Linked DNA regions of Elephas maximus indicus. The protein of the gene in region 3 binds, or shares a complex with, the protein of the main gene of each other region. Links are inferred from orthologs where the notes say so. Each region holds a gene or a part of one and is shown on either strand. Other genes may lie near its edges.

Region 1 (7,523 bases), on a different chromosome or scaffold from region 3:
ACCGTGGTCGTGGCTTCCCATGGACTGGTTCTGCTTCGGGACTTGGCCTTTCAGAACCACTCCTCATAGGAGCTTCTGTAACGGGAAGTTCAAGGTGCTGGGTGAACAGGGTGAGTATTGTCCTTGGGAAACTAAACCTATGTGTGGCACCCAGTTCGATGGGTCACTCAATTGCCCTTCTTCACTGACAGTGATTTTGGAACCAGGTGAGCTCTTTAGCCACACAAGAGGATTTGAAAGAAGGAAAAACATTAGTTGGGAAATGCATTAATGTCCTGGCTAGCAGGTTCAGAATACCAAGGTGTTAGAAAGTCCTGGGGGTGCAGCATTCATTAAGCTTCTGCTAGGGGTTTTCCCATCAAGGACCTCAGGTGCTACTCAACAGCTAAGTGAGGCTGGTGGTCATGGCCATTTTACAGGTGACATGCCACGGACCCAGCTAATATAGAGCCCCAGTTCAAACTCCATTCTGTTTGCTGCACTACACAGATAATTTGTACTCATTTCTAAGGTGCCAGGCCAAGACACAGGCAAGATTTTGAAAGATGTTTGTGTAGAAGGGAAATAATGGGCTTATAATCTGAAAACCAGAAAGAACTAAAACCAGAATCTAGCAAACAGATCAATCAAAAGCTGGTCTCAGAATCAATGGATAAAGGTGACTGGTGAAGGAAAAGAGCATTGTGAGTGACTGACACTCACTGGGTCACCAGATTGCACACGTGTCCCTAACAGGTGGCTTCTAGCAGAATGGTTTAGGATTGGCTGTCTTTATTAGAAGAGAGTATGGTATAAAAAAAAAAAAAAAGAAAAAGGGAGCTGTGTTTTCTCTAGCTGCGGCATAGACATGCAGCTTGGGGACTTGCTTGTATAGGAATTTCTAGCAAAATGCATGATGTAAAAAGGGCCCAAGGTTATGTGTGCAGATCACAGCTGCAGGCATTGGGCTTTGCTGCAGTCCTACATAGGGTGCTAACATTTGAGGATCCAAAATGCTCAAGTGGCCTGAAGAACATCAACCTGTTTCTTCAAAAGGTTTTAATCTTAAAACATCATCAAGAGTAAACAGAAAACATACAAGGTCTAGATAAAGGAAACTTTAAAATACCCTGAAGGACACAGAAGAAGACGTGAACAAATAGATAACGCCAAGCTCTTCAACAGGAGCAATCAACGTAAAACCATCAGTCCTCCTCAGTTAAATAAAACTTTAATGCCATCCCAATAAAACATACCAGTAGGGTTTCAAAAGCAAGACAAAACTAAAATTCATATGCGGGTGGGGGGGGGGAATAAAAGTTAGAGGATGCTAGAGGGAAAAAAAAAAAGGGTGTTCAGTCCTAACAAACATTAAAATATAAAACTGTAATTATGAAACCAGTATAATTTTAGTGCACGAATGAGTAGATAGGCCAATAGAACAGAATAGAAAGTCTAGAAATAGACCCAAATATGTATGTGAATTTAGTATGGCAAATGTGTCATTCATAACCAGTAAGGAAAGGATGGATTCTTCAGTAAATAGTGTTGGAACAACCAGGGAACCATCTGAAAAAAGTAAAGCTGGTTCTATACCTCACACCATAAGCCAGCATGTATTTCAAAATGGATAAAGATGTAAATGTAAAAAAGAAAAACACCATAAAAACACTATAAAGAAATGTGGAAGGGTTCCTTTAAACTCCTGTGGGTGGGGAAGGCCATTCTAACTTGGACCTCAAATTGAGGAGCCATGAATGAAAACTGAGAAAAAAAAAAAAAAATACAGCCATAGAACACCATAACCAGAAAAAAAAAAAAAAACCAAACCAAACCCATTGCCGTCGATTCTGTCTCATAGCGACCATAAGCCAAGTCAGAATTCTATAGTCAGAAAAAAAACTTGCAACTCATCTCTAGGTGCTAATCCTAATATATAAAGAGCTCCTAGAAATTGATAGGAAAAATGAGCAGACTAAAATGCAAATACAAATAGCTCTTCAACACAAGATCCTCAATCTCATTCATGATAAGAGGAATGCAAATTAAAGAATAGCATTTTCATCTAAGCAGATTGGCAAAAATCCAGCTGTTAACACAGCATGTTGGTGAGACCATGGATGGGAAAACAGGCATTTGTACCACGTTGCTGGTGGGAGTGTAAACTGATATAACTCCTGTGGAGAGCAATGTACCAGAATTTTTAAATGCATATATCATTTGACCTAGCAGTTCCATTCGTTCTGTGGCCTTAGGCAATTCATTATTCTTCTCTGTGCCTGTTTCCTCATCTTAAAATGCAGATAGTTGTACCTTACAGAGTTGTTTGGAGGGTTAAATGAGATGAATACATAGCACTTAGGACACAGTGCCTGCGACATAAGGAGTGCTCAAAAATGTCAGTATTAACAGCAGCTAATGCACATTGAGCTCTTACCATGTGCCAGGTATTGAGCCTGGTGCTTTTCATGTATTATCTCATTTAATCCCCAAACTAACCCTGTGAAGTAGGTGTTAGGCTCTGATGAGAATGAGGCACAGAGCCCTCAAGTGAGCTGTAGAACAAGATTCAAGTAGAGCAGGATTTGAGCCAGGGTGGATGCCCAAGCTTGCGTAACCCTGCCTCTCTGTTAGATGAAGTGGGATGACAACTCCTTAAGGGAGGGGTGTGCCAGTGCTATAGGAACACAGAGGGGCAAGCAAGTCCCATAGCTCTGCTTGTACAACACTACCTAAGGGCCACGTTTGAGTTTTGAGAGAAGATGTGAATTTCAGCTATGGCTCTGCTACTTTCAAGCTGGGTAACCTTGGGGCGGGTTTTTAAAATCCACTTAGTCCGTCCCCTGATCTGTAAAACAGGGTCTATTCGTTTCCTTGGGCTGCCATAACAAAATACCACAAATCAGGTGGCTTGTAAGAACAGAAAGTTATTGTCTCACAGTTCTGAAGACGAAAAGTCCGAATTCAGGGTGTCAGCAGGGCCAAGATCTGTCTGAAGGCTCTAGGGGAAGATTCTTTCTTGTCTCTCCTGGCTTTGGAGCCTTGGTGGTGCAGTGGTTCAGCGTTAAGCTGTGAACCAAAAGATTGGCAGTTTGAATCCACCAGCCGCTCCTTGGAAACCCTATGGGGCAGTTCTACTCTGTCCTCTGAGTTGGAATTGACTTGTTTCTTGGCTTGCAACTGCAGCACAGCTGTGGTCACATGGCCCTCTTCCCTCTGTCTCTGTGTCTCCTCTTTTATTAACACACCATTAGGATCCACCCTACTTTAATAAGACCTCATGGTAATCCATAACATCTGCAAAGACCTTATTTACAAAGAAGGTCACATTCACAGGTTAGAACTAGAAAGTAACTTTTTTGGGGACACAATTCAATCCGTAACACTAGGGCATTACCTATTTCAAGGGTGGTTGTAAGGATTAAGAGAAACAGGCACTCAGGTCCTCACAACTGATGCTTATTGAAGTGAGCTGGGGAAAAGTGGGTGGGATGTGGGGAGGAGAGGATGGGGAAGGAAACACTAGGAAGAGGGAACAACACATCACAAGACTACAGATTCAGACATAGCTTTAGGAATCCAGGAAGGTGCCCCACGACCTTGAGGACCAGCTAAGAAACGAGCTGTTCAACAATAAAAATAAAAGAGCCACAATTTGTTGGGGGCCTGCTTTTACATTATTTTACTTAATACATCAAAACTACTGCAGTGAGGTAGAATTAATAAATTCAATTGTACACAAAGGAGAACCACCAGAAGCTATGGAAGGGGTGTAAGCAGGGAGGTGACTTAATCAATTCTGGGTTCTAGAAATATCCGGACAGTGAGATGAGGTGACAGGAGGTGCTCAAGCCACTTGCCTTGAATTCCATACGTTAAAAATATATATATATATATATATATGTTTACCATTTTCTCTTTTACCCCACAATTTATACTCACTCTAGAAAGTGTGAAAAAGTTTAAAGGAATATTTAAAAACTTGTTAATTCCACTTCCCAGAACCCGCTAAGAGACATCCCAATTACCATTTTTCTTCCAGTCTTTTTTTTCCCTTCTATTTAAAAAGTCATTAGAGTGATTGGCGGAAGACGGGGAAAGGCCACTGTCAGCCGTTTTTGATATTCTCTTCGGCCTGGTTTTATAACAGTAAAACCAAGGGGCGAGGCTGATTTTCCCCATGTGTCGGGGTTGTTGTGTGCCGTAGAGCTGATTCCGACTCACTGCGACCCTGTGGACAGGGTGGAACTGCCCCATAGGGTTTTCAAGGAGCGGCTGGTGGATTCGAGTTGCCCACCTTTTGGTTAACAGACTGAGCTCTCATCCACTTAGCCGCCAGAATGCCTAGTTATTAGGAAACCTTTGCAAATGACTATCAAGAGCCCGCGTTAGAAGTTTCGGTGCCGACCTCTCGCTCCTGCCACACTCAAACCGGTCTTAAGGTGGCGCTGCTGCAAGACGAGGAGGGGAGGGAAAGAAGGAGGTGCGAAAACGCATCTGAACTTTGGGCACCGCCGCTGTCCGTAGTAGGCGTCCCAACATGGCGGCACCCCAAGATGTCCACGTCCGGATCTGTAACCAAGAGATTGTCAAATTCGATCTGGAGGTGAAGGCGCTTATCCAGGTACTAATTCCCAGAACCCTGCCGGGTTCCAGCCGCCCTAATCCAAGCTCCGTCGGCCTCCTGGGCGCTCGGCGGTCTCTCTCCCGAACTGTCCCCACTTGGTCAGTTCTTCGAGACTCTTGGCCCCGCCGGGTGGCCGAGTACCCCTATGTCGTACCCATTTGGTCAAGTCCTGGTAACTGTTGGCCTTGATCCTCCATCCGGGTGCCGTTGGCTTGCTCCCTTTCGGACCACTCCCATGTCGCCCGCCTCTGCCCAGCCTCCCCTTTGTGGCCTCCCCTCCCTGGCCTTGCCCCGCCTCCGACTACCTCACAACATACCTGTCACCCCGTTATTCCCCTCTTAGTGGCTGCTTGCCCCCGCCTTTGACACCCCCCCCCGCTTTCCCGCGATAGCCTCGCGGGGGGGCCATTAGCTCCGCGCCCTGCCGGGTGCCCCGTGGCACCACCTGGCATGTAGGCACCGGGTGAAATGAATGTAACGTGGACCGCAAATGAGGAAATTGAGTAAAGCGCGAATGCCTGAATCCAAAGACGGTGCAAAACTAGGACCGGGACAAGAGAAGTCTGCTCGGGGAAAGGACTTTAGGGAGTCCCTCTGTTTAGTGTATGGGGGAATTGAAGTGTTTTGCTTTAACCCATCATCAGGGCCCTTAAACTACCATTTAAGGTGAGAGGCAGTAGTGCAATAAATCAGTTGACAACAGCAAGAGTTAGGAATGTAGTTCCCTAAGTTTACCAAAAGGAAATCCAGAGTTTTAAACCTTAGTTTTTAAATTTTTTTAAATTTGTTTTTGTTCTTCAGAGTATATGCAGCAGAACATATACCAATTCAACAATTTCTACATATACAGTTCAGTGACATTGATTATTCTTTTGAGTTGTGCAACCATTCTCATCCTCTTTTTCTAAATTGTTCCTCCCCCATTGACAAACTCACTGCCCCTTAAGTTTCCTATCTAAGCTTTCAAATTGCTGTTCTCAATTTGATCCTGTAGAGATAGATCTTAAAAAGAGCACAATGTTCAAGGCAGACATTCTTTACTAAATTAAGCTAAACTGTTGTTTGGTTTAAAGAAGACTTTAGAAGATATTTTTGCTTTAAGGTTTAAAGATTAAGGGCAGTAGATTCAGTGGTTCATCCAGCCTCCATGGCTCCAGAAAGTCTATAGATTCCATGAGAATTTGAAAATCTGTTTCACATTACCCCCCTTTTGACCAGGATTTTTCTATAGAATCTTTGATCAAAATGTCCAGTAATGGTAGCTGGGCACCATCCGGTTCTTCTGGTCTCATATAATCTTAGCTTTAAGCGAGTCATTTTTGCTTCCAACAAACTGTCATTAAATGTTAGACGTAGACTCAGAATTTGCAACAAGTTATGGCAAAAAGCAAAGTTTGGAAAGTAGGACTTCTTGGGTAGAACATATGCAGAATAAACCAAATTAGCAGTTTATCATATGGTGCAAGGGTGTGTGATTTAAGGAGTAAGCCAGAGAACAAGTGAAGAAACTTGATGCAAACACTTGAACATCACATCTCATGTGTATTAAGCCACAAAACTTCTGAGACAACTCTAGAAAAATTAATTGAGAGCTCATACAAATGAAATGACCTTTTCACACAATCTAAATTGTTTAGGCCCCTTTCTCTAACATTTGGGTTCTTGTAATTGCTAATGAGAGAGATTCATAATAGCTACATTCACTGCCCACTTACTGTGTTCCAGCTGCTCTGCTCAAAGCTTTCTAAACATACATAGTCTTTGAGATAAGTAATAAGGAAACTGAGACAGAGAGAATTTAGGTAACTTTCTCAAACTTACACAACTAATAAATTGCTACAGCCAGAATTTGGATACACATAGTCTGGTTCTAGAGCCACTCTAAAACCTAGCCCCAGTAATTCTGAATGTCCAGAAACAAATTCTAAATCCCTAAATATGTCTGTAGACATTGTGATTTATAATAGATGGTTTGAAACCATTAATCTTGTATGATGACAGAAATATAAGCATCATGATTTTCAAGTTGGAAAGATCTAAAGTTATAATAAACCCTTCATACTGGTCAGGTGATGTTTTGTTACACTTTAACCAACCAGGTGCTTTCTGGTCGATTCTGACTCATGGCAACCCCATGTTTGTCAGAGTAGAACTGCGCTCCATTGGGTTTTCAATGGCCGATTTTTCAGAAGTTTGCACCACTCAGGGACTCCTGTTAAACTTTAAAAAAAAAAAAAAACGCTTATTGCCGCAGAGTCGGTTCTGACTCATAGCAACCCTACAGGACAGAGTAGAACTGCACCATAAGTTTTCCAAGGCTGTAATCTTTATGGAAACGGACTGCCACATCTTTCTCCTATGGAGTGGCCGGTGGGCTTGAACGACCAGCTTTTAGGTTAGCAACTGAGCACTTTAACCACTGTACCACCAGGGCTACTTTATTAAAATTTAAAGAAAAAAAAATTTAGGGACTAATAACTAGGTCAAGCCAGAGTTGCATTTCTTGGTTTGCTTTTATGTTATCTGTTCAACATTATTCTGAAGCGGGATGAGAAAAATGTAAATAATAATGGTTTTGGTTGTGTGGCAGAGGTCAACGAGATATTGGGATGAATGACAGTTAGTAGGCCAACCTTAGCTGTGGTCTAGGAGAACTGTCTCTCGGTACAGATGGTTTAATTTCTCCTTCTTCTCTTCAATGTGTCCTAGGATATTCGCGATTGTTCAGGACCATTAAGTGCACTTACTGAACTGAACGCTAAAGTGAAAGAGAAGTTTCAGCAGTTACGGCACAGAATACAGGTGAGTGGCTACAGAACCAAGATGTTTGATGACAGTGAAGGGGGCTCAGTCCTGAGACTAACCTCTGCATCAGTGGATGCTTCAGAGCTGTCCAGGATCTTCAGTAGTAGCTGGA
Region 2 (7,830 bases), on a different chromosome or scaffold from region 3:
GCACATGGTAATACAGTCAATGAAAAATCAAGAGAAAGTATTCTCTATCATTATATCATTGCAAGGGGATGTGAATTCTTGCAACAGTTCATTAACAGAATGTTTAATAGTAAAGAAACAATGGAAATTAAATTTTCCACTTCTGTATCATGGGGTACACTATTAAATTAATTGGCCCATCAAAGTAATGGGGGTGGTACACAAGGTGCTCAGGAAAGAGAAGGGAATTCATTTTAGGAGCGAGCTATGGAATACAGCACAGGTGAGAACAAGCTAGGAAAGGTAAAGGTGAGATGGAATGGCCCACATTTGGTGAGTGAGAAAGTTGAGGGATAAGGCTGATAAAAGGATTTGTAGAAATTTGGGTTTGATCAAAGAGTCTATTTCAGTTCAACATGTACTGAGGGTTTACTATATGGCAGCCAGTGTGATAGACTCTGGAGGTATGAAGATGAGTAAGGAAGGTTCCCTATACTCAAGGGATCCATAGTACAATGGGGAAGGCAGACATAAACAAATAACTGCAGAAAGTATAGGTAAATAACCTAAGAATATATACGATCACTGAGGAAATTTCCTAAAGTTTGGCTAGTCAATTTGGATGAAGAAAAAAGAATGCACGTGTCAGTTTATGTGTTACAGGAATTCCCTCAGTATAATGTTATGATCATTTCCCCTTGGAGAAGAGGTCAAAGTCTATTTCACCCTCACTATATTCCCAGTACAAGGAGCCCTGCAAGCTCCTTGTTAAGTGCTTGGCTCCTAACCAAAAGTTCTGCACTTCGAACTCACCAGCCGCTCCGTGGGAGAAAGACATGGCAGTCAGCTTCCATAAAGATGTCAGCCTTGGAAACCCTACGGGGCAGTTCTACTCTGTCCTATAGGGCCGCTATGAGTCGGCAAGGGGTCTGGGTTTTTTGGTTTACGTTTCCAGCACCCAGCACAGTGCCTATCATATGACGTTCCCTCAAATATTTGTTGAACAAATAAGTGAGTCAATACCAAGCATGTTTTGATTTTAACTATACTATAAATGATAGGGAAGCCCTGGTGACACAGTGTTTAAGTGCTACGGCTGCTAACCAAGAGGTTGGCAGTTTGAATCCGCCAGGCGCTCCTTGGAAACTCTATGGGGCAGTTCTACTCTGTCCTATAGGGTCACTATGAGTCCGAATCGACTTGATGGCACTGGGTTTTTTTTGTTTTGGGTTTATAAATGATAGATAACTTTATAGACAATAGGACCTGGCTACAAGAATATTTTCATTACCAAAGTATCTCCTCAAGTAAGATAAAGCAGTTGAGCTGATAGTAATCCAACCCAGACTCTTCTGTCTGGGTCTTAAGAGGAAATAAACCAATGAGAGCTAAACCACCAACTCTGATGTAATAATCTTAGAGTAGACAGAAGAAGAAAGAACAACCGTTGCTATGACAGACCAGGAGTTTAGGGGAAGGTGATATATGTATTAAAAAAAAAACCCTAAGCCTAGTCAGAAGAAGCCCTGGTGGCACAGAAAGGTTGGTGGTTTGAACCCACTCTGACTCCACCAGAGAAAGACCTAGCACTCTGCTCCCATAAAGATTAAGAAAAAAAAAAAACCCAAACCGTTTGTTGTGGAGGCGATGCCGACTCATAGTAACCCTATACAGGATGGGGTAGAAGTGCCCCATAGGGTTTCCAAGGAGCACCTGGTGGGTGCGAACTGCCAACCTTTTGGTTAGCAGCCATAGCTCTTAACCACTGTGCCATCTAGAAAACCCTATGGAGCAGTTCTACTCTGTCACATTGGGTTGCTATGAGTCAGAGTAGACTCAATGGCATACAACAAGAAGCCTGGTGAGAGATCAAGACTATTGTTATTATTACAGATGTTCTTTTTGGGTGATGCTCTGAGACACAATCCAATCCCTCTGTCTTTCTCAGGATAGGATTCTACCCTGTCAAGTCAACCATGTGTTTTATTTTGCATTAACCACCATATAAAATCATCTTATTTATTCCTGTTTGAACCCACCTGCCACCCCCCACAAACATGTAAGCTTCTGAGAGTAGTGACCTCCATGTCTTGTTTACTGCTGTATCTCTAACATGTAGAAGACTAAGTGTATATTAGCTGTTCAAGAAATATTTGTTAAACTAATGAATGAATCTGTTCTCAGCCACCGCTATTCAAAGAGAAACCCCCCCCCAAAAAAAACCATTGCGTGGAGTTGATTCCGACTTATAGCCACCCTATAAAAAGAGTCTCTCAAATGTGACAGTATCCTCTGGGATCAAGAGTGGGAGAATGCAGGTACAGGTAGTTGACAGCAATTAATAAAACAGAAAGAAAAGGACTTGATAACCAATTGTTTGTGGAGGTTATGGGTGAGGGAGATGTAAAGCATTTCCTAAGGAGTCTCATACATAGTCTGAGTTTGACAAATATTGGCCACTAATAACAATGGTGATGACAGATACAGGGCTGATGCTCAGGAAACAGGTCTGGGCCCGAATTTAGGAGGAAGAGGAACGCCAACATCAGGCGGTGGAGAGGGGGCGCGCAGGGGCCCAGGTGTGTACAAAGAATACCTCAAAGCCAGAAGTCGAAGGTGAACCAGATGAGTGACGCCATCGAAACAAGGATGTGGAGAGGAATTTTAAGAAGACTCAGTGATCGAGAGATTCAAATGCTACACACAGATCCGACAGAATGAGAACCGACATAAAGTTAGCATTTTTCCCTCCTGTAACAGCTGAAGCAACACATTCCGAATCTCTTTAACTCGAGGCCTTATCAGCGCCATAAAACGGACTTCGCCCAAACTCGACTTGCCCGACAAATCGAACTGTTGACACCAGAGAAGACCGAGTCACCTTTGCACTGCCTCCTCGCTCCACCCCCAGCACCTTCCCGTCAACACCGTCACCCTCCCTCTGCTGAATTCTCCCTCTCTCCTGTCGAGCGCGCCCCGCTCCATTTACCTGTCCTGGCACCCTCGGAGGACGCGCGCGGGCTCGACACAGAAAAGCGGGAGTTAGCGAGACACCGCCTACAGCGCGCTCCCACAGGAGGCTGGGACTGGAGCGCCTCCGACTTCCGCGTAAAGCACCCGGCTCGCGCGCGGCCTCTTGGGAATGTGAGCACTCCTCCAATGGGAGTGGGTGGAGGGGCGAGGCCAGTTGCTTTCCCAGCCCTGCACTTCCCAGAGGCCGCACTGCATTCTGGGGATGGTAGTTCAGACCGTCATATCGTCAAGTTTGTCACATGTTTCCTCAACGCTCTTCCTTGTTGTAAACTATGTGCCAAGCGCTATACCAACACTGGGCAAATTAGAAGTTCCAGGACCACAAGGGGCCCCAGTGGCGCAGTGGTTAAACATTCGGCTACTAACCGGAAGGTTGGCGGTTAGAACCTACCACCTGCTTCCAGGGAGAAAGATGTGGCAGTAGGCTGCCATAAAGATTAAAACCCATTGCTGTCGACCCGACCCATAGCGACCCTATAGAACAGAGTAGAACTGCCTCCCATAGGGTTTCCAAGGAGCAGCTGGTGGATTTGAACTGCTGACCTTTTGGTTAGCAGTTTAATGCTTAACCACTGTACCATCAGGGCTTCTTGGAAACCCAATGGGGGCAGTTCTACTCTGTTCTATAGGGTCGCCGCAACGGGTTTGATTTGATTTTTCGTTTGAAGGACCACAGAAAGAGTCTACCACCATGGAGTCAGTGTGATAAATGAAGAGCCAGGCTTGCCCTGCCACCTCCTGGCTTAGTCCCAGCAAATGACTTCGCCTGTTACTTCACTGACAAAATAGAATTCATCCAACAGCAACTCCCTCTACTTTCGCCAGGAAGTTTTCTAAACTCCTTCTACCACTCACCTACCCTCTCTCCTATTCTTTTGCAATTCTTTTGCAATAACAATAACAACAACAATAAACTACTCTCCTTTGATCTAAGCGCCCCCTCCCACCCCTTATATCCCCGTTCGCTCCTGCCTAGCTCAGAGTCTAGCTCCATCGAAGAACCCTTCTGCCTCAACCTCAATCCCCTGTCCACACTCAGACTTAAGGTAGCGGTCTTTCCCCCACCTTATCCTCCCAGTTACAATTCTCAACAGTGTTGCTAAAACCAAAGGCACTTTTCAGTAATTATCTTACTTCAACTCTGAAATATTTTAAAAGAAATATTTTATATGGTTGATTATTCCCTCCTTCTTAAAGCCCTCTATTCTCTTACCTTCCAAGACGCTGCACCCTCCCGGTTCCCCTCCCACCTCTGTGGAAGCTTTTCATTTTCCTTTGAAATGTTCCTGTTCCATAGGGCTATGCCCTACACTCTCTTCTTAGTCTTCACACTCTTCCTGGATGACCTTAACTATTCTTATTGCTTTGATTATCATCTATATACTGGTGATATCCACATATAGGAAGTGGAGCCCTGGTGGCAGAGTGGTTAAGAGCTCGATTGCTAACCGGAAGGTGGGCTGTTCTAATCCATCTTGAATCCACCAGCTGCTCCTTGGAAACTCTATGTGGCAATTCTACTCTGTCCTATAGGGTCACTATGAGTCAGAATCCACTCCTGACTGTGGCAATGGAATTTGTTTGTTTGTTTGTTTAGACAAGACTCCTGTAATTCAGACCCAAATATCTAATGACAGCTAGACATCTCTTCTTTTTGTTGTTGTTGTTATGTGCTGTGGAGTTGGTTCCGACTCATGGCAATCCAATGTACAACAGAAGTAAACACTGTCCGGTCCTGAGCCATTATCACAATCGTTATGCTTGAGCTCATTGTTGCAGTCACTGTGTCAATCCATCTCATTGAGGGTCTTCTTCTTTTTCACTGACCCTCTACTTCATGTCCTTGTCCAGGGACTACTCCCTCCTGATAACATGTCCAAAGTACGTACAACGAAGTATGGCCATCCTCACTTCCAAGGAGCATTCTGGTTGTACTTCTTCCGAGACAAATTTGTCCGTTCTTCTGGCAGTCCAGTGTATATTCAATATTCTTCACCAACACTGTAATTCAAAGTCTTCAATTCTTCTTCAGGCTTCCTTATTTATTATCCAGCTTTCACATGCGTATGAGATGACTGAAAATACCATGGCCTTGGTCAAGCTCACCTTAGCCCTTAAAGTAACGTCTTTGCTTTTTGACACTTTAAAGAGGTCTTTTGCAGCCCAATGTAATGCGTCTTTTGATTTCTTGACTGCTGCTTCCATGGGTGTTGATTGTGGATCCAAGTAACATGAAATCCTTGACAACTTCAATCTTTTCTCCGTTTATCATGATGTTGCTCATTGGTCCAGTTGTGAGGATTTTTGTTTTCTTTATGTTGAGGTGTAATCCATACTGAAGGCTGTGGTCTTTGTTCTTCATCAATAAGTGCTTCAAGACCTCTTCACTTTCAGCAAGCAAGGTTGTATCATCTGCTTGTCACAGGTTGCTAATGAGTCTTCCTCCAATCCTCACGCCCCATTCTACTTCATATAGTCCAGCTTCTCGGATTATTTGCTTAGCATACAGATTGAATAAATATGGTGAAAGGATCAACCCCAACGCCCACCTTTCCTGACTTTAAACCACACAGTACCCACTTATTCTATTTGAATGACTGCCTCTTGGTCCGTGTACAGGTTCTGCATGAGCACAATTAAGTGTTCTGGAATTCTCATTCTTCGCAATGTTATCCGTAATCTGTTATGACTCACACAGTCGAATGTCTTTTCATAGTCAATAAAACACAGGCAAGCATTTTTCTGGTATTCTCTGCTTTCAGCCAGGATCCATCTGATGTCAGCAATGATATCCCTGGTTCCACATCCTCTTCTGAATCTGGTGAATTTCTGGCAGTTCCCTGTCGATGCACTGCTGCAACAGCCTTTAAGTGATTTTGAGCATTATTTTAATTGTGTGTGATATTGAAGCTATTGTTTGATAATTTCCAAATTTTGTTAGATCATATTTCTTTGGAATGGGCACAAATATGGATCTCTTCCAGTCAGTTGGCCAGGCAGCTGTCCCCAAATTTCTTGGCATAGACAAGTGAGCACCTCCAGTGCTGCATCTGTTTGTTGAAACATCTCAGTTGGTATTCTATCAATTCCTAGGGCCTTGTTTTTTGCCAATGTCTTCAGTGCAGCTTGGATTTCTTCCTTAAGTACCTTTGGTTCTTGATCATATGCTACCTCCTGAAATGGTTGAACATTTACCAATTCTTTTTTTGTATAGTGACTCTGTATATTCCTTCCATCTTCTTTTGATGTCTCCTGTGTCGTTCAATATTTTCCCTGTGGAATCCTTCAATATTGCAACTCGAGGCTTGGATTTTTTCTTCAGTTCTTTCAGTTTGAGAAATGCTGAGCCTGTTCTACTCTTTTGGTTTTCTAACTCCACGTCGTTGCACATGTCGTTAGAATACTTTGTATTCTCGAGCTGCCCCTTGAAATCTTCTGTCTAGCGCTTTTACTTCATCATTTCTTCCTTTCGCTTTAGCTACTTGACATTCAAGAGCAAGTTTCAAAGTCTCTTCTGACATCCATTTTGGTCTTTTCTTTCTTTCCTGTCTTTTTAATGACCTCTTGCTTTCCTCATATATGATGTCCTTGATGTCATTCCACAACTCTTCTGGTCTGCAGTCATTAGTGTTCAATGTGTCAAATCTATTCCCGAGGTGGTCTCTAAATTCAGGTGGGATACACTCAAGGTCACATTGTGGCTCTCATGGACTTGCTCTAATTTTCTTCAGCTTCAAGTTGAATTTGCATATGAGCAATTGGTGGTCTGTTCCACACCTCCTTGCCTTGTTCTGACTGATGATGTTGAGCTTCTCCATTGTTGGTTCTTTCCACAAATGGAGTCAATTTGATTCTTGTGCATCTATTCTGGCTTGGTCCACATGTATAGTCACTGTTTATGTTGTTGAAAAAAGGTATTTGCAATGAAGAAGTCATTGGTCTTGCAAAATTCTGTCACATGAACTCCAGCATCATTTCTATCACCAAGGCTGTATTTTCCAACCACTGATCCTTTTTTGTTTCCAACTTTCCCGTTCCAAGCACGAGTAATTATCAATGCATCTTGATTGCATGTTTGATCAATTTCAGAGTGCAGATATTGGTAAAAATCTTCAATTTCTTCATCTTTGTCCTTAGTGATTGGTGCATAAATTTGAATAGTAGTTGTATTAACTGGTCTTTTTGTCCTCGCTGCTGTCGAGTTGATTCTGACTCATAGCAACCCTAGAGAACAGAGTAGAACTGCCCCATAGGGTTTCCAAGGAGCATCTGGTGGATTCGAACTGCCAACCTTTTGGTTAGCAACTGTAGCTGTTAACCACTACACCACCAGGATTTCCAGTCTTCTTTGTTGGCATATGGATATTATCCTATTACTGACAGCGTTGCACTTCATGATAGATCTTGAAACGTTCTTTTTGACAATGAATGTGACGCCATTCCTCTTCGATTTGTCATTCCCGAAGTAGTAAACAATATGATTATCTAATTCAAAATGGCCAATACCAGTCCATTTCAGCTCACTAATGCCTAGGATATTGATATTTATGCATCCTATTTCATTTTTGACAACTTAGAATTTTCCTAGATTCATTATTCATACATCCCATGTTGTGTTTATTAATGGATGTTTGCAGCTGTTTCTGAGACCTGTCCACTAAGGGTGACCCTGTTGGTATTTGAAATACTGGTGGCAAAGCTTCCAGTATCACAGCAACATGCAAGCCACCACAGTAGGACAAACTGACAGTCGAGTGGTGGGGGCATCTCTTTTAGGTACCTAAAACTTAGCATAGTCCCAAATTGACCTAATACATT
Region 3 (7,067 bases):
AGGGAGGGAGGCAGGGTCGCAAGACCAGCAGGTGACACGTAAAGCAACTGCAACGTTAAAACACAGTTCTCGGAAGTGTGCGTGTTCGCCCTACGGCAGGAGGGACAGCGGCTCCGAGTGACACAGCTCCCGTCCCTGCTTAGCAGGATCTCCAAGTCTTGACACCTCCCTGAGGACTCAGAATCAGCAGTGTTGACGAATCAGTGATCTGAGAGTCGGAACGCTGTAATTGGCTGCTGTCCAGTTGGCTCTGACTCAGGGCAGCCCAGGCACCACGGAACGGAACAATGCCCACTCCTGCACCGTCCCCATAAGTGGTGGCGAACTGGACAGTGTTCCAGTGTGATCCACAGGGTTTTCATTGGTTGATTTTTGGAAGATCGCCAGGCCTTTCTTCCTAGCCCACCTTAGTCTGAAAGCTCCGCTAAAATATACCCAGCATCATAGCAGCACATAAGCTTCCAAAGATAGAGGGGTGGTGGCTGCTCGTGAGGTGTACTGGCCAGAAATTAAACCCAGGTCTCCTGCAAGGGAGGAGAGAATCCTACCACTGAACCATCAATGCCTCATTCAGAGTCACAGAGGTACCCAGGAACGGCCTCGGCCTGACTGGGGGCAGGGGAGGAAGAATGTCTTGATTTCCCTTCCTCTCATTTCCATCCAAGAAGCCCCCCTTTGATCTGTTATATATAAGGGATCACTGTAGTTTTTAAAAGCCTTCTTTTAATAAGAACAAAAAAGGAGGGCACCATTTGCAGGTAAATAAACTGAGGTCATAAAACTTGCTTAACAGCAGCATCACGCGGCTAATGTGGCAGGGTTAAGCCAACAGCCTGGTCTCCTGGCTCCTTCTTGGGTGTCTTTCTACCACATAATACCTGACTGCCTACAGGACGAAGTCCACACTCAGCAGAGTGGTATACAAGGCCCTTTGAGATCCGCCACTGCCTGCCCCTCCAGTTGAATTTTTCTGGGTGTCCTGAATTCCAGTCACACTCAAATACTAATTGAACCAACTTATGTTAGGCTGTTACCTATCTCCATGCTTTTGTGCACACTGCTCTCTTAGCCTGAGATGCCCTCCCCCAACCTGTCTGAACAGGAACCAAATCTTTCGAGACTTGTTCCAGGCATGACTGGCTCTAGAAAACCCTTCCTGGTCCTCAGGTAGAACTGATCACACTCTCCTTTGTGCCTGACACATATTTCTATCCCACCACCTACAAAGTTTTATGGCACTTGTTTTGTTCGTATGTCTGCCTCTGCCATCACTCCTTTTCTATCGTGTTACCCTAACACAGTGCTGGTTAGAAGGTAGGTGCTTAAAAGATGCTTGTTAATGAACTAAATGTATTCATCTAGCCTAATCCCCCTTCTAATGCTTTAATATCCCCTGCAAACTGCCCTTCGTTGGTTCATGCATGCATACATTGATTCAAAAATACCTGAGTGTCTACACACTGCCAGGCATTGAACTGCGTGCCAAGCTAACGTGGATTTACTGTGAAGTTGATATTAGAACCTTAAACATCAGGGCCCCTCACTTATACTTTTCCCAAAGCTCTAAACCTGATTTTTTCTGTAATTTTGTATTTTTATTTCTCACAGAGGGCAGACAAAACTGTATGAGCTTTAGACCCCACAAAAACTAGATCCATTTTTGGTGCCAAGGATACAAAAGTGAACAAGGCAAACATTTTCTCTCTTCTTACAGAGTTTACTGTTTAGTGGGGGAAGGCTGACAACCATCTGTTCATTCATTCACTCAACATTTACTAAGCAATGCTATGAGTCAAGCATTGGGGATTCTGAAATGAAGCCAGCACTGTTCCTGCCCTTAAGGAGAAGGTCCCTGCTCAGAGAGATGAGGAAAGCTTGCAGTGTTCAGGAAACAGAAAGTAGTTTGGATGACTGACACATGGAGTGTTTGTGAAAGCTGATCCTAAACCAGTCTCAAGAAGTACTGAATTCTCATCCTTCAGCCAAAGATCAGACAAGCCTACAAAACAAACAATAATACACGTAGTTCAACCATGTATATGAGACTAAACGGTCACACCAGCCCAGGGGCAAGGATGAGAAGGCAGGAGGGGACAGGAAAGCTGGACCATTGCAAATGGGGAACCCAAGGTGGAGACAGAGAGAGTGTTGACATGTTGCGGGGTTGGCAACCAATGTCACAAACCAGTATGTGTATTAACTGTTTAATGAGAAACTAATTTGCTCTGCAAGCTTTAACCTAAAGCGCAATAAATTAAAAAAAAAAAAAAAGTGCTGAATTCTATCTACCTTGTGCCCTAACCTCCTGCAGGAGGCCAGGGGAGGGGAGAGGACAGCTGAATCAGGCATGGCCTTTAATCTCAATTCGAGGAAGGACGATGGGACAAGTGAACAGAAGAGGCGATGGCAGCGTGGCCGGCGAGGCGACAGGGGAGCAGGGGGCTGCGGGGGAGCTGCCTCCGCGTCCAGGCGCAGTGACGGCGAAGTCATTGCCACACACACCCGGGAACTCTGCAGACGCAGGTTTCCGAGCGCCTCCTTCCGCCCAAGACAAATCGGCTTCCTTAATTTCCCCAAACGCATGGCGTTCCTTTCCCCAGACAGCTGCCGGCTCTCAGAAGCCAGCTCGGCTGCTCCCTCCTGCGACCCCTTCTTCCAGGCGTTTCTTTCGCACAATGCCTGCGGGACCGGGTGCACTTTGGGGGTCTAGGGGTCCACGCCGCGGGTCCGCGCCCGGCTCCCGCCCGCCGTTTCCATAGCAACCAGCTCACCACTTCTCGGGCCCGGCTGGAGAAGTCTCCCTTGGGCCGAGGGCTCCGGCGGAACAGCTCGTCGCGGCTGCCATCTGCCCCGCCGCCCACCGCCACTCCCAGCGCCTTGTTCCGCGTCTTCACGGTCTTGACGCTGGCCCGGAACAGCAGCGTGATGTCCACCGCCATGGCGACCCGCACCCGCGGTCCCCACAGGGCCCCCCACGTCAGCAGCCGGCGACGCGCTGCGAACCCGGCTGCGAGAGGACCGTTCTCTCCCGCACGCCTCCGTCCAGCAACCGCAGCGCGAGGAGAAAGGTTCCGGCCTCCGCCGAGCTACCGCGGAGCGAGGAGAAAGGTTCCGGCCTCGCGCTGGCGCTCGGGGCGGATCCCGGAAGCTGCCTGGAAGTGCTCACCGGCGTCCTTTTCTTCTCCCCGAAAACCCCCCGGGCTTGGCCGCGCCGAGTGACTCTGGGTCCCCGACCGTCGTGTACGGCTTTGGGGAGTATGGGTCCGGGACAGCAGGATCGGAAAGCCGGACGGCTCGTTCCTTTCTCGTGGCTCCCGCCCTGATTGAGCCTGGGCCGGGCGAATCTCGGGGGACGCGGAGGCCAAACGGGCTTGTCCTTTGACCTCAGGGGGTCACAGTGTGCGTGTCGCAGGGCAGGGACAGAGCAGTGTCCAAGGGACACGGATGGAGCAGCTCGTCCCTAAAGTGGAGCCGACCCGTCTCAGGGTCGTTGTGAGAATTGTCAGTTAAGGCGTGTGAAGTGTTTTTGGTGTGGCCTGGCTCCTAGGAAGTGACCAGTAAATGTCGTTGTTGTTGTTGTTAGGTGCCGTCGAGCCGGTTCCGACTCAGCGACCCTATGCACAACAGAACGGAACACTGCCCGGTCCTGCGCCATCCTCACAATCGTTGCTATGCTTGAGCCCATTCTTGCAGCCACTGTGTCAATCCACCTCGTTGAGGGTCTTCCTCTTTTCCGCTGACCTTGTACTCTGCCAAGCATGATGTCCTTCTCCAGGGACTGATCCCTCCTGACGACATGTCCAAAGTATGTAAGGCGCAGTGTCGCCATCCTTGCTTCTAAGGAACATTCTGGCCACACTTCTTCCAAGACAGATTTGTTCGTTCTTTTGGCAGTCCATGGTATATTCAATATTCTTCGCCAACACCACAATTTAAAGGCATCAGTTCTTCTTTGGTCTTCCTTATTCATTGTCCAGCTTTGACATGCATATGATGCGATTGAAAATACCATGGCTTGGCCTTAGTCCTCAAGGTGACATCTTTGCTTTTCAACACTTTGAAGAAGTTCTTTGCAGCAGATTTGCCCAACGAGATGCGTCTTTTGATTTCTTGACTGCTGCTTCCATGGCTGTTGATTGTGGATCCACGTAAAATGAAATCGTTGACAACTTCAATCTTTTCTCCATTTATCATGATGTTGCTCATTGGTCAGTTGTGAAGATTTTTGTTTTCTTTATGTTGAGGTGTAATCCATGCTGAAGGCTGTGGTCTTTGATCTTCATTAGTAAGTGCTTTAAGACTCTTCACTTTCAGCAAACAAGGTTGTGTCATCTGCATAATGCAGGTTGTTAATGAGTCTTGCTCCAATCCTGATGCCCCGTTCCTCTTCATATAGTCCAGCTTCTCAGATTATTTGCTCAGCATACAGACTGAATAAGTATGGTGAAAGAATACAACCCTGACGCACACCTTTCCTGACTTTAAACCAATCAGTAGCCCCTTGTTCTGTCCAAACAACTGCCTCTTAATCTATGTAAAGGCTCAGCACGAGCACAACTGTTCTGGAATTCCCATTCTTCATAATGTTATCCACAATTTGTTATAATCCAGAGTCGAATGGCTTTGCATAGTCAATAAAACACAGGTAAACATCCTTCTGGTATTCTCCGCTTTCATCCAGGATCCATCTGACATCAGCAATGATATCCCTGGTTCTGTGTCCTCTTCTGAAACCAGCCTGAAGTTCCCTGTTGATATTCTGCTGCAGCCATTTTTGAATGATTTTCAGTGAAATTTTGCTTGCGTGTGATATTAATGATATTGTTTGATAATTTCCGCATTTGGTTGGATCACCTTTCTTGGGAATAGGCATAAATATGGATCTGTTCTAGTCAGTTGGCCAGGAAGCTGTCTTCCATATTTCTTGGCATAGACGAGTGAGCACCTCCAGTGCTGCATCTGTTTGTTGAAACATCTCAATTGATATTCCATCAATTCCTGAACCCTTGTTTTTTGCCAATGCCTTCAGAGCAGCTTGGACTTCTTCCTTCAGCACCATCGGTTCCCGATCATATGCCACCTCTTGAAATGGTTGAACATCGACTAATTCCAGTAAATATTAGCTGCTGTTAATATTATCCTTATTATTTGTGGTGGGGAAGAGGATCACAGAGAAGTTACCACCTGAGCAGAGATTTGAAGGATGAGTAGGAATTTATCAACTGGATATAAGGATGAAAGAGTGCCTCTTGTGTCACCAATCGCTAACTCAAGTCATAATATTTGCTTAAGTTGGCTGCAAGTCAGCTGTCATGAATTGAATTGTGTCTGCCCCTCTCCCCCCAGTATGTGTCAACTTGGCTAGGCCATGATTTGCAGTGTTGTGTGGTGGTCCTCCATTTTGTAACCTGATGTAATTATCCTCCATTTTGTGATGTGTTGTAAATCCTAACCTCTATATGTTAATGAGGCAGGATCAGTGTGAGGTGGATCTTGAGTCACAGCTTTACTTAGCTCACACCCCTACTCCAGTCACACCCTTGCTTGAGTCATACCCTTGCTTGAGTCACACCTTTTATCTTATACGAAGTAATAAAGCAGCAGCCTTTGATACTGTGGGAAAAATCCCACAGTGGAGATCACACCTCAGAGCTTGTATTTTCTTTTTCAGGCAAGACAAGTAAGCCACCGAGTGCTGGTTCAAACTAGTTCAAGAGACCTACAGTTAAATTTGGCTCATTAATTTCCTCGTAGGTACCAATTTTTCCACCCCTAAAAAAGCAAAGAAGGAGCCTTGGTGGTACAGTGGTTAAAACGCTCAGCTCTTAATTGAAAGGTCGGCAGTTTGAACCCACCGGCTACTCCCTGGAGAAAGATGGAGCAGTTTGCTCCCATAAAGACTTACAGCCTTTAAACACATGTACTGTGAAGTTTTATGTAACCCCCTGCCGTAGCATGATTTAGAATGTTGCTGTTGTAATTCACATGATCTCCCTGCTTGTAAGCTCTATAAAAGCGACCTCCCTAAACTTTATCCTTGAATAGTCTTGGAGACACCAGCCCCGACTGTTCCTTTCCTTGCAAGGAAATAAAGTTGCCTTTCTGATCTCCCACCTCAGCCTCTTGTTTATTGGCTTTGATGAGTTGCATCGAGCAGGACCTGGAGTTCCTGGCAACAATAAGAGGAGAGAGAAGTGAGCAGAAAAGGGAGGGACCTCACAACTACGAAAAAAGAGCCAGAGCAGAGCACATCCTTTGGACCTGGGGCCCCTGTGCTGAGAACCTGCTAGACTCACGGAACGATAGATGCCAAGGCACATGAAGATCTCCAAAGGAATGCCAGGCCCACAGATGTTGAAAGGAGACAAGGATCTTCCCCTAGAGCTGAAGCCCTGAATTCAGCCATCTAGCCTCCTAAACTGTGAGAAAATAAATTTGTTAAAGCCACCCACTTGTGGTATTTCTGTTTTAGCAGCACTAGAGAACTAAGACATCAGCCAGTTAATTTTTTCTGAATTTTGTTTCAACCAACCAAAACCAAACACATTGCGGTTCAGCCGACTCCAACTCAGAGCGACCCTATAGGACAGAGTAGAACTGCCCCCCAGGGTTTTAAAGGCTGTAAGTCTTTATGGGAGCAAACTGCTCCATCTTTCTCCAGGGAGTAGCCGGTGGGTTCAAACTGCCGACCTTTCAATTAAGAGCTGAGCGTTTTAACCACTGTACCACCAAGGCTCCTTCTTTGCTTCGAGGTCCAGTTTTAATTAAAGACCTCATTGATAAGCAGGTTTGCTTATTCTTTTAAAGAGGATGCACAACTATGTTGTTGTTTTTAGTTGCCATCGAGTTGATTTCTGACTCATGGCAACCCTGTGTGTGCAGAGTAGAACTGCTCCATAGGGTTTTCAAGGCTGTGAACATTTGGAAGATCACCTGTCAAGTCTTTCTTTCCAGGCACCTCTGGATGCCTTTGAACCTACAGCCTTTTGGCTAGAACTAGTCTAGCACTTAACTATTTGTGCCTTCTTGCAATTAGTATATGTATTAAAACTGGTTCTTAAAGCATT

What was found.
Region 1: STX18 (region 3) and BNIP1 share a complex: the UniProt entries of both Homo sapiens proteins name them as parts of the SNARE complex. The link is inferred for Elephas maximus indicus from reciprocal best matches to the Homo sapiens genes STX18 and BNIP1.
Region 2: STX18 (region 3) and VAMP7 share a complex: the UniProt entries of both Homo sapiens proteins name them as parts of the SNARE complex. The link is inferred for Elephas maximus indicus from reciprocal best matches to the Homo sapiens genes STX18 and VAMP7.

The regions. Positions count from the first base shown.
Region 1 is NC_064820.1:192,250,214-192,257,736, forward strand, and holds the start of BNIP1 (vesicle transport protein SEC20), read left to right. Parts: upstream 1-4,484; 5' UTR 4,485-4,519; coding exon 4,520-4,603; intron 4,604-7,315; coding exon 7,316-7,408; intron 7,409-7,523. UniProt on the Homo sapiens protein: As part of a SNARE complex may be involved in endoplasmic reticulum membranes fusion and be required for the maintenance of endoplasmic reticulum organization. Also plays a role in apoptosis.
Region 2 is NC_064846.1:109,599-117,428, forward strand, and holds the start of VAMP7 (vesicle-associated membrane protein 7), read right to left. Parts: upstream 3,108-7,830; 5' UTR 2,969-3,107; intron 1-2,968. UniProt on the Homo sapiens protein: Involved in the targeting and/or fusion of transport vesicles to their target membrane during transport of proteins from the early endosome to the lysosome. Required for heterotypic fusion of late endosomes with lysosomes and homotypic lysosomal fusion.
Region 3 is NC_064823.1:156,987,066-156,994,132, forward strand, and holds the start of STX18 (syntaxin-18), read right to left. Parts: upstream 3,044-7,067; 5' UTR 2,940-3,043; coding exon 2,772-2,939; intron 1-2,771. UniProt on the Homo sapiens protein: Syntaxin that may be involved in targeting and fusion of Golgi-derived retrograde transport vesicles with the ER.